Lepisosteus oculatus: one gene and its partner. The protein of the gene in region 2 purifies or fractionates together with the protein of the main gene of each other region. This does not show direct contact. Links are inferred from orthologs where the notes say so. Each region holds a gene or a part of one and is shown on either strand. Other genes may lie near its edges.

Region 1 (7,875 bases), on a different chromosome or scaffold from region 2:
CTGACATCTATAGGGATCCTGTTCTGTAATATGTTGCTCTGGCCTGTAATAAGTCAGAGCAGGGGTATACTTCCACTACACAGCTCATAAAAGTACAAAACCACACAAAATATTACAACACAACGCCTAAAAAAAGCACTGGTCCTCTCAATTTGAGATACGCCATATATTCCATAAGATTTTAAATTAGTGCAGCCCAGTTCAAACTCACTGTTTAAGCAGGACAGCGAATGAGACAGAACTGCACATTTCACACGCTTTCTCAGCCTTCAACGGGACTGAGATCTGTGGATTGTTCTGGCTAAACAAAGTGAATTAAGTCTGCATCTGGCTTCTGAAGCCAACCATATATTGCATACCTCTTGTGAGTCTATTCATTTGACTGAAGGTTCTTAATAACTTGGACAGCAAGTAAAAATGACCCCAAAGCAGGCACAACAGGACTTACTCCCAATGGACCCACAGTACTTACAAACACGCAGAGCTGTGCCAGGCTGGTGTGCACACTTATTCAAGACGTGCCTTCAGTGGGGAATGATGGCCTTCCTTCTCAAAGACTCTTTCTGCTGAACGGGAAAAAAGAATTCCATAGCTTTATGCTTCTTAATAATGCTGTGCTCTTCCAAATTGCATCATTAATGGTATAAGTCAAAACGGATGACAATGAAAATGTATTTCTAATGGCATCTTCTCCTTCATATGTATGCATAACTATACAATGGAATTCATACAACTGATAACCTACAGATCTGATCTAATCTTTCTTAGTTTTTATTTTTGAAGTGGGTAATCCACTGTGTATATAATATGTATAATTATATACATAATATGTATTTTCGTGCCACAATTACAATGAATAAAATACCCACTCCAGCTACATTTCAATTTTACTTGAAATTGGCCCAAATGGATTGCAAATAAGAGGTTATTTCCAAGTTTTGACAAATCCCAGGACAAGCTGCTCTAAAATGTCTGACACTTTGCGTTAAGATAGAAATATTTATTTTTCTGGGACCAGACTTGAAAACACAACCTCTTTAGTTTGGTTTCCAAAATACTCTAACTGTAAGCATATTATAGTTAGGAGAATGTTATTTCTTGAGGTCATTTAATTTTGTCACCAGAAGAGTGTTTATAGAGTTCGGTTCATACAATGAACTGCAAGATCGAAATACAGCAAAATGAAACCTGATTGAAACAAGTGAGATAAATAGTCTCAATCTGGGAAAACTTGACTGTGAACAAAACAAGGGATTCCGTTTGTCTGCAAACAAGAAGTCAGTTACATGATAACAGTTTCACACAAAATATATATATTCTAGTATGACAGCAAAAGAGTTACACAACTATATACAGGGGAACTAAATGGATGCCAGAAAAGATTAAGAACACTTTTAGAAATATGGCCAAACAGGAAAATACAGACGTAGCTTCACAAAACATAAAACGAGTGTTTCTTTTATTCTTCCAGGAGGCTGAAAGAAAAACATTTACAGGACACTGCAGACAGTACAGGGTGTAGGTGGGGGGAAAGGGACCCGATGCAATGGATTTCAAAAGGAAAGGCTTCTTTCTTCTTAGCTTGTGTATTTAACTAACATGAGGTCTAAATGAACAGATTTCACTTGACAAGTATGAACAGAGGCCAAATGAGACCCATATAAATTAAAGACAACCAAGAAAACGATCGCCACTCTACTTCAATGTACAGTTTAATAACAAAAGACCCTACTGTGATTATGCTCTTAAAAGAGCAAAGGGCATAAATCTTTAAAGAATGCTACAGTGACGTCTCTAAATTAATGAAAAGATAGGCTGCAGTAATTCTGAACTCAGCTGGAAAAAAAGTTCACGGGTATGTAGCTGCAGGAAAGACCTCCGCCGTACAAATCGGACCAAAACTATTCATTTGAACGGACGGCGTGATTTAGTTGGCCGTATGCGTTACAGTATTTACCAAGATATCCTTGTGTCTCATTCTCACAAAGAGGGCCAGTAGTTATTAAAACAATAAATAATTACTAGGTAATACAGTTACATTAAATACGAAGAAGAACATTTGCGAGATTAAAAAAAAAGCCCCAGCCAGAATGTTAACACAAAAGGTCTCGTTGTTTTAATCACACCAAAAAAAGCTAAATATAATCAGACATGCATGAAATCCAAAACCGTCGTCACTTAAATTATAATACGTACAAAGGACACAGTTCAAGCCTGTGTAAACACACACCTTTCAAATATTTTAAGGCACTGAAACACGGAACGCACTTTACTGCTCACTTTGTTTCCGACAATTAACAAACACGTTTTTTCTCTGAACTGAGCACATGCAAATAACGAACGGTTTTGCGGGGGCTGTAATGCATCAAACTACTCGCAGCCCATCACAGAAAACAACAACAACAACAAAAAACTTAAAACGATTAAGAAAAGCCAAGCAGGAACTGTTTTACATCTACATACCACCCTCCCATTTAAAAATATCAGCATCCATAAATCGTGCCTAAATAAGATCCGTGGTCAGAGCGGGGCTCGCTAATTAAAGGTACGTAATAAATTCGTCAAAGGCATCGTCAAGAAATCCGAAACAATTGTTACTGGAAGTGATTTTTTTTGTAACCTGCACCCTCACCCTTGAATAGCCAGGGCCGAGGCTGGAGATCAGAGCCGATTCCGGCAGCTCTCTGTCCAGAAAGGCATCTCATGTAGACAGCGGTGTCCTGTCCGCTTTCATTACTACCGTCCGAAACAAACTGCACTCCAAGCCTGTAATAAAAAAAAGACGCACAAAATTCCAGCGCACAATTATCTAAACGCTGTCAAAAATAATAAAAAAATAAAGGAATAAGCTGCCATTTTTTTCCTGCAGGCAATGTTAATCAATTACCTATAGTTGATTTTTTTTTTATATATATATACAACCCACCCCAACAAGACTTCTCTTTTTTTTTTTAACCTGCAGTAATACTGCAGACGAGCTTGTCACAAGCCGGTCATCATTCAAACTGCGATCAAAGAGACGGCTTTAAATGGGGAAGAAAAAGAAATGCAATAAGAAAAAAAAAAGCAAAAGCTCAGATCAGCCTACCTCGCTAGGGTTGAGCTCCGCGCTGCTTGATGGACAGACGATCCGACCAGCAGCTCAGCGACGCAGTCAAACCAGTCTCCAATTACCGACAGGCGGGGCGGAGATTAGGTTACATTATCCCCCCCCATACTGAAGTTTGGTTGCACGATTATAACACAACCAGTGTGTAACAGGCGAGTTGTTATGGACTTCGTTTTGTATCTTTAAAATTGCCAGCAGTTTGGGAGTGACGTCAACGGGATGGCTTCACCCGCCGTTAGGTTTGCATTTCTACATGTTGATGGCTTAGTTACCTCAATGTTTTGCATCCGGCGGATAACGTGTGCGGGAAGCCCGGCAGCTATAAAAATGAATTAAACTGTTGTCTCATCTTGGATACAAGGAAGTTAGGTGGCAGAAATGAGCCTCTGTAGAGGGCAGGAGATGTTTATAGATCTTGAGAAATCTGTTGTTCAGCACCTACCACTATCATTCAATGCCATGTACGTTGGCGCAGTATTTTGCATTTTAGAATGAATGTTGCGCCACAGAAAAATCATGGGAGACCTCCGAGGAAAATCAGATTGCTGCTGTAAGGGGTGGGAGTGGACCAGTAGGTGGCGATCTTCATACTGGAATAGAATTTAAATCCAGTGCCCCAGTATGACAACTGCGGAGGAGCGGTGGCTCTGTGGCTCAGGATCTGCGCCTGTGGCTGGAAGGTTGCTGGTTCAAATCCTGCGGCCGGCAGAGGAATCCTACTCCGTTGGGCCCCTGAGCAAGGCCCTTAACCCCAGCTGCTCCATGGGCGCCGTATAAATGGCTGACCCTGCGCTCTGACCCCCAGCTTCTCTCTCCCCTACTTAATTTTAGTTCATTTTATATTTCATCATCTAAAATTCTAAATTAAAGTTGTGCTATTTAACCATTAATCTGCATTTTGTTCCGTTCTTTTTACCCATTTTTCCAATTCAGAGTTGCGGTGGAGCCTGTTCATCCACCCTGGATGGGACGCCAGTCCATCACAGATACAATCTCACTCATCTTCGCAGAAGCCAAACAACCTACCCCAATGTTTTCGGACTGCGGGAAGAATCCAGAACAGCTGGCGGACACCCACAAGAACATGGGGAGAACATACAAACTCCATGCACACAGCACCCCAGGTCCAGCACTGTGAGGTAATGTTAACCATTGTGCCACCTAATCAACATTCTCAATTGATATATCCATCAGCTTATTGCACATCTATAGCTAGTCGATACAGATTTCCCCCTTTTAAGGAGTTCTTCGGGAATTTGTAGTCTTGGATTTAGGTATGGCCTGGTACATCTCCCTTATTTTCATTAAAATGGTTGAATATTGGTTAAGTGCAAAAAAAGACTATAGTAAATATGTTGTAAAAGCTCACCCAAAAGATATCATTAAAGCAGACTTTGCAAAAGATGCAAGTTTCTGAAGTCAATAAACAACACCGTTATTTTGATAAAAACAAAGTTTACTTGCCCCAAATAGTAAATAACTTGAAATAAAGAACACCTTTTGCTATAAAACATCATAAAGATTTTCTGGGTTGTCGTGAGCAGTACAAATCTGCAAAGCTTTTTTTTTGTTTGTTTTTTTTATTGTTTCTACAAAAAAAAACACTTTTGAAACATTAGAAAAAAAACCTCCCGAGAGCTGCATGCATCTGGGAAGTGCAAAAACGCACTAAAGTCGCCGCTTACAGCCGAGACTGGCGCCTTCGCTTTCATTAACCCCGCAGCGCCCTACAAATAACAGTAAGATTTTCTCCACAAAATAAAAATATACTTACAAGTAAAACAAAAGCCACTTGTTACAAAGAGCATTATATACAAATACCATACAACCATATTAGACCCAACACATGACACCCCCCCCCCCCCCCTCCATACTAGAAATTCCCAGTGTGCAGCTTTAATGCATTCATTTCCTTATGAACAAACTGGCAAAAGGGACTTAATAACTTGTGGGACTGTACCAGTGACACTCTTCCTGTTTCAAAGTATGCACTGCACAGAGTATAACAAAGAAGCAGAAAACAAATTATCTTAGTCCACAGTGAAATACAGCTCTTGGCCTCAGGATTGTAATGCCTGAAGACTGTTCCTTTGATTTAAAAAGACTTCTGGATCCAGTTATGAAATATTTAATTTCAATGTCAATATTTCCTCATGGGTGGAGGTGAATGACTCCATGACTTTTTTTCTTTATGCATCCATTTACTAAAGTGAGTGCTCATAATTTTTTTTACTAGGAAAAATACTCATTCAGCTTGGCCTCACTAGACATTCTTTTCCCCAACAAAAAAATGTGGTCTTTTTACACTAAGCTAGTGGGGAATTCACAGGAAAGGTCTTAGAATATTTAAGATTAAAAACTAAAAATGATGTCCTAAATGCAAATTTGTTCTGGTTTAATAAAAACAGTTAACCCACCATTATAATACCTAATTGGTAACTTAGTAGGAATCTCATGAAAGTAAATAAAAAGTAAGAATAAAAGTTTAAGTGCACATCTTCACCTTTGGAAGCTGTCTGTTGATTGCACTGGGAGACCTGACAATCTGCAGTAGAGATTATAATCAGGATTCATAAAAAACAGTGGTTTGTAAGGACAATGTGGATAAAACAAAATCTGTTTTATCTGACCCTAACTGCACAGAAGCTATTTTCCATCCTACAAATACTAGGTTTACAACAGCTCATCGCAAATGGATGGTTCCTAGCATTTCTGAGGCTCAAGAATCACGCAGTACAGTTAATCATACACCACTAGGGGGCTCCATAGAGTACAGTAGCCTGGGAGTGCATTCTCTTTGAAAAAAAAATCAACTTTTGAAAGCCACAGACTGAATTTCCTTTCTTGGCGTTCTGTTGTCGTTCTTTTCAACGAAAGCATGTGCATTTTGATTCCTTAAAATCTTTTGTATTTTTTTTAGTAGCTTCTGAAAAGGTGAGCTACCACTAAAAAAAGTAAAAAAGGAAGGATGTTGGTCGTAACAAATCTAGGACTAAAGGAAATGATTCTGAAATACTGTCAATGAGTCTGGGAAATTAAATGACATAGAATCAAAGGTTGCGATTGCAAGCTGAGTCCCCCTACTAATCTAATGGCGAACAAAAGAATATAAACAGATGCTGATGTTGAAACTACTCATCAAGCATCACAAGTAACATTTTCTGAACAAGCATTTAAACTTGTCTGCTTAGCTGTGGCTTTTAGGCCTTCTCACCAAAGAGTTTGATTCATAAACTGAAAACAGTAGATGGTGGTCTTATTCCAGTCTTTAAATGTGATGTAAGAAATTACTCCACTTAACATTTTCCAAACAGGTAACTAGCATTTTAACTCTGTAGCAAAAGCACATTTAATTGATATTTGGCCAACCTAACAGGTCATTAGCCTTGGCTTATTTCTTGGCTTATTTCTTCATGAAAATCACAATCAAAAACACTTGTTTGACAACAAAGGCCTTGAATCAATGCGTTAGCTTAAACGGAAGTGTGTGGTCCCATACCTCTCCCCTGCTCTGCCTGCAAGTGAACTGTACTCTTTCACTCCTCGTCACTGGGAATACCTACCGCATACAGTAGCCGTGAGATTCAACAATGTCCCTTTCAAAAAAGCGTTACTGGGCAGAATAAGGGAATTTGGCATTTTGTTTTACATCACATCACAAAAAAGCTTTAAAAGTGGTATTCAGTTTTTTAAAAGTTACAATGCTTTACAAAAGTCTTGGTGTTCAGCTTTTTTTTGCCCCAAACGTGAAAGCAAGTCTCCTTATAACATGTCGCATTGTTCTGACAGAGGTGTGAGTGTTCTTTTCAAGAACTGTGTGTTAAAAACTAAAGTATGGAGAAACATTCTGGGAGCAGGCTGTTGGGAGTCAGCTGGACAGAGCTCTTGCAGCAAAGCGCACGTGTCCCTAAAGGCCAGCATGTAGGTGTCTGTGTGTTTAAGCTAGGGCAGGGGGAATTTGAAGGGATTCTTTGCACAAAAAGCACTCTTGCTGTCTGTCTTTTCGGCTCATAGGGTGCCTCCTCCTGGGAGGGGAGTGCTATTACAGCAGCATTTATGGAAGGGAACTGTTCCCCCATTTCTTGGCTCTGCAATGCTCACAGTCAGGAAGGATGGATTTTCTTTTCCTACGGGCATCCCTTGGATCAGTCGGAATCCGAGTCGGAGGACTCCTCAGAGCTAGACGAGCCGGTGCTGCTACTTTCAGATTTGTTCTCCTTGTCATCCACCTCTTCGTCATCATCTTCCTCGTTCTAAACACGCCGGGGGGAAATAATTAAAAAAGTTCATTTGTCAGTCATACATTTACATTTCAAACCACTCTAGATTAGAACTAATAAAGAAAGGATGCCCAGGAGTCGTTTGCAAGACCCACACTTCCTAACCTCATCATCCTCCTCTTCCTCCTCCTCCTCACTGTCTTCCTCACTGGAAGACTCTTCATCTGAAGAAGCCGCCTTCTCCTCCTCTTCATCGTCCTCATCCTCATCTTCCTCTTCGGAATCCTGTACATTAAAAAAAAATGTCTCAGCGGTCCCCCCTCCTTTCACACTCACTTCATCATCGCGCTCCCCTGGAGCAGTGAGACAGAGGGTCCCGCGTTCACAAAGGAAAAAGAGACGACAAGAGAGGACGGATCCACGCTGCAGAACTTACCGATTTATTGACGAGAGCCTTCACCTTTGCGGTTGTCCCACCAGGCTTTGATTTCCCTTTGCGTTTCTGTGAAAGCAAACAGAGGAGCTGAGCGTCCACCACTTGGATCA
Region 2 (8,119 bases):
GCCAAAGTGAAGGAGCATGTCTGGGGAAATGCTGTGGAAGACAGGTTTTTTTTCAGTGCGGGCACACTTTATTTTAACCCAGAGACTTTCCTTGTCATTTCTTCTTCAGCCTGTACCAGGGAGTTACTGAACTCAAGTTATTCCATGTCTTAACACTTACAGCTATTGCAAAATTTCCTTCTATATACTTAACAATGTTTCCCTCTTCTTGTTTGTATACTCAAATCCTACAAAATACAAGGCACACAAATCTGTAGGCTAGCCGATTTGGTTAACTCATGGTGTGCTCACAGAGACGCGGCCAGGGGATGGTTAACACCATTTCAGTGTTTGGCTGGTTATCTTAACTTCTTGCATCTCTTCCCTGTCTTTATTGCCCCGCTCATTGCAAGCTTGTGAGACTGAGGCAGCAGTGTTCAACTGCACGGGTGTTGCAAGGCACTACAGCGGGTGGTCAAAACTGCCCAACACATCATCGGCAGTGCCTTACCATCCATCCGGGAAATATACAACACCAGGAGTCTGAAAAAAGCCACCAAAATTATATCTGACCCAACTCACCCAGTCATAACTTGTTTGTTCCCCTACCATCTGGCAGAAGGTTCCGGTCACTCCAGTCGCACACAACTAGACTCCAAAATAGCTTCTTCCCCAGAGTTGTCAAGTTGGCGACGCCCCCACACCCTCCAACCATATTATGATCTCTCCTAACGTCTACCTGTACCCACAATGACTGTACTCCTACACCACTATACACAAATGTAAGCCAAAATTGTACTGTCCCCTCAATAGCCCAGTAAAACTGTACCGGTCGTAATAATATTTAATATTTATTAATTAACCATACTATTTTTGCAATGTTCCAAGAATTACCTTGCAGTATTTTTGTCCTGTTATATTTTCTCTGTTTGCGGAATTTTGCACAGTTTCGATTACTTGATTACATGTTATTTATATTATGTTATTACATGTTACTGCTATTGCTATTGTGTTACTGTCTATTGTCTTACCTTCTGTCCTATTTATATACTGCACCTGAGTGACTAATGAGAAACACTTTTCATTATACTAGGCACCTGTGTAAGTTTAATGACAAATAAAGTTGAATTGAATTTAATTGAAACTGAGAAAGGAAGAAAGTGCCCTTAAATTGAAAAGGCAGACCTAAACCACACTCACTTGTAGAAGTCACTCTCGGGGTCACTGTGGCGCAGCTGGAAGGGCTGGTGGGGGGCCTTGCTGTCGGGGGGCAGCAGGTCATCGGGCAGGGCAGGGGTGGCGGGCCGGGGAGGAAGGGCGTCGCTGTCCTCGGGCCGCCCCGCCCCCTCGGCCTGGGGCTGGCCCTGGGCGGCGGCCAGGAGCCCCCGGAGGCGGCGGGCGTGCTGGCACAGCTGCACCGTGTGGATGGTCAGGCTGCAGGGCTCCGAGGGCACGTCCAGCATGGTGGTGGGGCGCGGGCGCTGGGCGGAGGGCTGGTGCAGGGGGGGGTCCTGCACCTCCACCGAGCGGAACTCCCGCTGCAGCAGGTCGAAGGAGCTGCGGCTGGGCGGCGCTGCGGGCGCTGGGATCTCCCCCCAGTACCGCATCATCGTGCCACCTCAGCCTCGAGACACGCTAGCAACACTGCCGGACACACACACAAAACAGTAGATTCATGTTAAACGGCACTAGAATCAGACATAAGGCTTTGCTCTCTAAGGTAGGGGTTCCCAAAACGAGGTGAAAGGACTGTGGGTGGCAGAAAGTGACAGTCTAGCACAGGAGATCCCAACCTGAGTCCTCTGGGTCCAGAATCCAGCAGACTTTCTATGTCTCTCCATAAGTTCGAAAGATACTCTTCACCTGGGTGTTAAACTGACTCAATTAAGGTTTAACTGGGCTGATCTTTTCTTTCTCCACGGCCTTAAGCCTTATCGACGACCTAAAGTGGCGTTGAATATCCCTATAGATTCCAGACTCCCAGGTAAAGAGGTGAGAACCTGTGGTTTAACATGTTCCTACAAAATCGTGTTGTGAACCACAATACGATGAGAGTTAAACCAGTTGTCTTCCTTCAGGAGCTTTCTTCTAGCGAATGGTAATTGTTTAAGTATGCTTATTGAGGATCTGACGGCTGTCAAATCCTGGTCCTGGGAGCTGGTGTGTCTATAGGTTTTAAATCCACCTCAGCTCTCAACACTCTGATTACTGTGTTAACAACCATTTCCAGCTCTTCAGGTGCTGCTGCTTAAAAAAACCCACAGACACACCAGGCCTCCAGGACCAGGATGCAAGAGACAGCCCTTCCTGGAGTATTGTGCCTTCGATTACTAAAATTACTATATAGTGATGAATTTTTCTTGTATTTTAAAAATCATAAGTTCCTGAAAATTGAGAGTGTGTACAGAAGTTAAACAGCTAGTAAAGAGAGAATTACTGTCCATGTTGCCGATACACGTTAATGCGTTTAGTCCCTAAAGGATCTGCTACAGTAACGACAATGTTACTGCACTCTATGCATGCATGTAATATCTATTACGCCTATAGCGTAATTTCCGTCCCTCGAGTTAATTATGTTTTTACTTTTTTGTTTTGTTTTGTGAATTCATATCCTACAATTAAAGTTGAGGCTATAGGATTTATTCTAGAGAAGTACTATAGAGTTAGACATTAGTCTACACAACGCATCATTGTCATTTGTCCTTGGATTGGGAGTTAGGTGACGCTTAACACTATATACTATATTTTTAGTTCGTTATATATTTTTGTTTCGGCGTCTTTATTTCGGACGAAACCATACTTTTTAAGTTTACCGCAGTCTTGAGGCGTGGTTTTCAACCCAGCGGACAGTGTAAAATTTGAAAAAAGAACATAAATGTTAACATAACCGTTGTAATTATAGTGTATACAAAATCGTATCCATACAATTATTGACTTGCAGTTATGATACCCTACTAAAATAAAATGTGTATTTTTGCTTACATTACAAAACTGAAACTTTTCAACCATCAGTGTTTAAACAATAAACCACACAAAACCACTCACCTTAATACGATTTCTTTAATCTTGAATGCCGAACAGACAAATTTCAAAGTGTCCAACTCTTATTTTGATTCGTATGGAAACAATTACTCATTATACAATAGTTCCTAAATTATTCGTCGTCTTCAACATTATTATGATTTCGTGATGAGATATAGTAAGCGATATATATATTGTGGCAATATGAATATTTCTAATATTATTAGTAATTTTATTACCCGTGTTTAATAAATTAAGAGAATTATAGACCAAATAAAAAAGTAATAAAAATCCATGCTAGTGTTTTCGGTGTTATTGTTCTCACAAATAAGGAACACGTAGAGGTTAATTCCACGCTGAAAACCAAAAATAATCAGTAATAATGTACAAAAATATAACCTTAAACGTTACTTATTTAAAAGTCTTCTGATGTGGAACCTTTCTTGATTAGTCTCTACTGTCCCCAAAGCGGAAGGAAATATTTTGCATTTGTACCAAGAAGCATGGCGGAAGAAGTAAATGTAACACGAACATTAGAGCAGCAGCAGCGTGAGCTTACTGAAATTGGAATGAGTGAGAAAGAAGAAAGAGAACAGCCCGATAGGGTTATTTTGGAGACGAAGGGAGGAGAAGGGACGAATGAAACCCACGCACTGGAAGATCCGTTTAAGAAACCTGACGTTTTCAAGGCGCCTTCCTTGCCTTTAAAGAAACCCGGAGCAGCTGCCCCGGTGTCCACTGTTGATGAAGAACCCGTTGTGGAAAACAGTGTGAAGTCTGTAATACCCGAAGCCACGCACACAGGTAAAGAAGGCTTGGAATCAGAAGGGGACTGCGGTACATCTGGTGATGGCATTTTAGAAAACGGCAGCGACACGACAAACGACTGCAGCCAGACAACCTCTCCGACAACCGCGAAACCCGTAAAGGATAACGCAGCCAGCGCAACAGTACGAGGTCTTGCAAGTGCGCAGGTCCTCAAAGCCAAACTCCCATCCAAAGTATCGGACGTGAAGTTTAAACCCTGCCCTCCTTTGCCATACACCGAGCCGCCCTGGGGCGGTCTGGCAGAGACATCTTACTACTTTGAAATTCTGAAAAATGGCACCATCCTTGACACGGTACCGCTCACCGAGAGGAGCTTCTTCGTTTTTGGTCGGTTACCAAACTGTGATGTGTCCCTGGAACATCCCTCCATCTCTCGCTACCACGCCGTGGTCCAGTACCGGCGGCGCGCTGGAGAGGAGGGCGTGATCGGGGAAGAGAAGGGCTTCTATGTTTTCGACCTGAGTAGTACACATGGCACCTTCGTCAACAAGAACAAGATTCCGCCCAAGACCTACATCAGGCTAAGAGTGGGCCATGTGCTCAAGTTTGGGGGCAGCACCAGGCTGTTCATCCTGCAGGTAAGCCTGCAGACACACGAGAGTGTCTGATTTCCTTTAAATCTCTTGCAGAGTTAGATTATTCAAAGGTGTTGCACTCTGTGGTCTTCCATGCACAGTAAATTTTTAAATGAACTTCGGCTTCAACAACCTAGCTGATTAGTTTGATCCAGGCTCCCTGAACCCAAACTATGACTATACCTGTAATTTGGATATAGATTAAGTGTTTAATCAGGATTTTAAACTAAATGCCCTTTAATTGCATTTTCAAGTGATGGAGAATCAAGTTCCTAAATCCTTGTTAAATGTTGACTTTGCAAATAGGGAAGTTGTTAGACATAACATCAATGTGGTTCAGGTGGGTAGCTGCGTCAGCATGCTAAGGCTGCAAAGGAACAAGTAATAGGTTTGTTAAATCAATGTGTCACACTTTTTTCATGGTAATTATGAAACACATAAGCACTCACGTACAGTCCAGTGGGAATGCGATACTGCTACTTTCCACCTACAGTTTCTGTAGACTATGTACGAAAACCCTCAGTGACCTCTTTCAAATGTTGCTTTATGTATCATTAAGATAGGTACCCTTCCTGAATTCATATCTTAATAAATAAAGCATGGCAATGAATAAAGATGGGCTTTTGTTGTTTTGTTTATTCAGGTTTTTTTCTTGGTACCAAGAGCACCTGTAGTGTCGTCCATCACAAACGATTTTCAAAAGGCTACAGCTGCTCAAATGATGAAATCATTTAGCTTTTGGAATGTTTTGAATTGATTAAAAGACAGGTTTTGGTTAAGACTCGGTCCTGTTTGTTAAGCCAGGCTGATGTCCATTTGCACGCAGGTTGGGAGCCCGTGCCCTGGTCTCCTGCAAGGCGGTTTTTGAAGGAGACCTAGTCCCCTGCCTTCCTCGGGGGAGAACTGACCGTTTGTCTCCCCTCCTAGGGCCCAGAGTGTGACGCGGAAGCTGAGTCGGAGCTGTCCGTCACGGAGCTGAGGGAGCGCAGCCAGAGGCAGCGGGAGGAGCTGGAGAAGCGGATGATGGGAGACGGCTCGGACGAGGAAAGGGAGGGAGAGGGAGAGGAAGAAGGGGAGAGCAGCACCAGCGGGAGCTGTGCCAGTGAAGAGGGCAGCTGCACCTGGGGAATAGGTGAGCCACTGGAACACGCAGCACAGCCCCAGTGGGACCTGCTGAGTCTGGTTCTTGGCCAGTGCTCTTACTATGGCACAGGAACAAGAGTCCTCCTGCCTTCTACCTTACTGATGGCCCACTAGTTAACAGCGTTTCATGATTTGCTAAGCACACACAAACACCGGGCTTGAAAATTCATTTCCACCGGTCCAGTAGTAAATATCCAGGAAAATCAAAATTGTCTGTGTATGTTTACACAAACTGAGAGGTTAGGCAGGGAATCATTAATACCACTGAAGCCTTACACAGTCGGTGATTTCAGCTCAGTTCTGCTGTTTGCTGACACACTATTAAACATTCATGGGATTCTTGTATTTTACTGTAAGCTGCTTCATTCAGGGAAGTTTCTAACTTAGCATTAGTTTTACTGCCCGAGAAAGGTGGCATCAGCCACAATCTTGGGGGCATAAATCCTGGAATCAGGAAAACAAAGCAGGTTCAGAACGAAGAATAGCAGCAGTCCTCATTACTAAATAAGGGTTAATACATTGATTTCAGATATGCATGACTTTCAAGAAACTCAGAAGTCTTCTTTCTGGGTCAGCAGGCCTTCTCTTAATCGACCTCCTTTCACGTTTTTTTTTTTCTGTGAAGGCTGTTTGAAGTCCATTTTCTGTCTCACCTCTGTCTCTTTTTTGTTCTCTCCGTTTGTTCTCCCCCCAGGGGAAGATGCGCTTCCAGAGGAGGATGAGAACGCCGAGAATCCCTTCGCCAGTGAGTTCCAGGAGGACCCAGAGGCCCTTTACTTGAAGGACCCCAAGAAGGCCCTGCAGGGGTTCTTCGACAGGGAAGGTAGGGGAGTAGGTGCTCTTCGCTCAGTGCATGGACATTAGCGGTCTAACACATCCACACTCCATGAATACCAGTACCTCGTCCCCTGCCGTTAAACTGAAATCACCTGGTTGCTTATTATTTCTTTGGAAAGTGTGGGCCAGAATTGACATAGTCTGTATGTGCAAGTCTTGTGCAAAAAAAAAAAAGGTTTACCAAGTGACGCCTTGTGTGGGACATAGTGAGTGTAGTTATACATTTATATTTATTAAACATTCCCACACCTGAAGAAGGCTCCACGGCTGAAACGTTGTGTTTTTTCTCCTTTTTTTCAGCATGGAATAAACCTATTACTTGTTCATTTATATTTATATCTATATCTATATTTACATCTATATTTATATTCAGATGTGTGATACGATTTTTCTGCGTACTGTTCTGTTATAGTTTGTTCTTTGTGTTTCCTGACTGTGAGTAACTCTTTTAGTGCACCCCTCACTGTACTGATTGTATTGTATGTATTGTATTATTATTATTGTATCATTCGTTACACTGTGGCTGTGTTGTCTGTGTTAAGCTGCTGTTGCACTGCAATTTCCCTCACGGGATCAATAAAGTATCTACATTCTAGCATGTTGTTAATGGTCTTGACATGTACAGCCTTGGTAATTATTAATTATGCGAGTCTAGTGGATGGGCTGGGAGCAAACCGAAGGCTGAGCTTTGCATTATGATTTCAGGCGAGGAGCTGGAGTACGAGTATGATGACAAGGGCCGCAGCACATGGGTCTGCAGAGTCAGGTAAGGCTGCCCACCTCCTTATTTCTCACACCCATCCTATCCCAGTACTGTCCTGCAGCTGCAAGAGACAAAGATCTCCCTGATCTGCTGTGCAGAGTGGCTGCTCTGTGTTGCCCAAGTGGGGCTGCTGGTGCAGAGCTTTAATTTTTTTTTCTTTGTCATGTTTGTGGAATTATTTCTTACTTTAATTATTAATTATTGTTTCTTTGACGTGGGCTAGGTGTTTCTCTCCTGAGATAAGTTGATTTTTTTTATCACATATGTCCATCTGGAAAAGAAGAATGTTTCTAGTTGAATTCTGTCAAATTAAACTGACTTCTCAGTGTGTTGAAATGCTAGTTGTCTTTTCTCGAATATTTTAGAAATGTTGACAACCCAGCCCAGGGCCTTGTGCTTTGTGAACTCAGTGTGGTAATACTGAACTGACAGCCGCCATGTGCTGTGCCCAGGTTACCAGTGGACGACGCGGTGGGCAGACAGCTGGTGGCAGAGGTAACCCACACGGGGAAGAAGAAGGAGGCAGCCATACAGTGTGCCCTGGAGGCCTGCCGTATCCTGGAGGCTCGTGGGCTTCTGCGCCAGGAGGCAGGTGGGCACGCTGAGTCATGTCCACGCTACAGTGGGGTGTGTTGGGGGGGGGTCTGGAACAAGCTGCCCAGCTGTGTAGGTGAAGCCTCTACACTAGGATTCCTTCAGGTAACAGCTGGACGAGATCTTCCAGTCAGGGCAGGAGGCACTTTTTACACAAAGGGTGGTGGGAGTGTGGAACAAGCTAGCCAGCTATGTTGCCGAGACTTCTTTCAAGAAGCAGCTGGATAAGAACCTTGGATCAATTAGCTACCAAACAGGCTAGATAGACAAACAGCCTCCTCTCGTTTGTTACCTTTTCAGGTCCTTATTGTTTTTGCTCTGTGTTTGATCTTAACTGCACTGTTCTTGCAATCGTGCATCTCTGGCTTTCCCAAGCAAC

What was found. The genes of interacting proteins can lie anywhere in the genome.
Region 1: the proteins of supt7l (region 2) and atxn7l3a purify together in Homo sapiens (affinity purification with mass spectrometry; 6 studies listed by BioGRID and IntAct, counting the BioPlex papers as one, with this or other methods). This does not show direct contact. The link is inferred for Lepisosteus oculatus from reciprocal best matches to the Homo sapiens genes SUPT7L and ATXN7L3.

The regions. Positions count from the first base shown.
Region 1 is NC_090723.1:3,126,164-3,134,038, forward strand, and holds the start of atxn7l3a (ataxin-7-like protein 3), read right to left. Parts: upstream 3,179-7,875; 5' UTR 3,089-3,178; intron 3,080-3,088; exon of another isoform or gene 2,927-3,079; intron 2,767-2,926; 5' UTR 2,633-2,766; intron 567-2,632; exon of another isoform or gene 564-566; 5' UTR 473-563; intron 1-472. Other genes in the region: ubtf (nucleolar transcription factor 1), read right to left, coding at 7,255-7,362, 7,495-7,614, 7,766-7,831. UniProt on the Homo sapiens protein: Component of the transcription regulatory histone acetylation (HAT) complex SAGA, a multiprotein complex that activates transcription by remodeling chromatin and mediating histone acetylation and deubiquitination.
Region 2 is NC_090697.1:27,545,741-27,553,859, reverse strand, and holds the start of supt7l (STAGA complex 65 subunit gamma), read right to left. Parts: upstream 3,110-8,119; 5' UTR 3,025-3,109; intron 1,624-3,024; 5' UTR 1,590-1,623; coding exon 1,180-1,589; intron 1-1,179. Other genes in the region: slc4a1ap (kanadaptin), read left to right, coding at 3,504-4,406, 5,331-5,535, 6,241-6,369, 7,089-7,149, 7,599-7,738.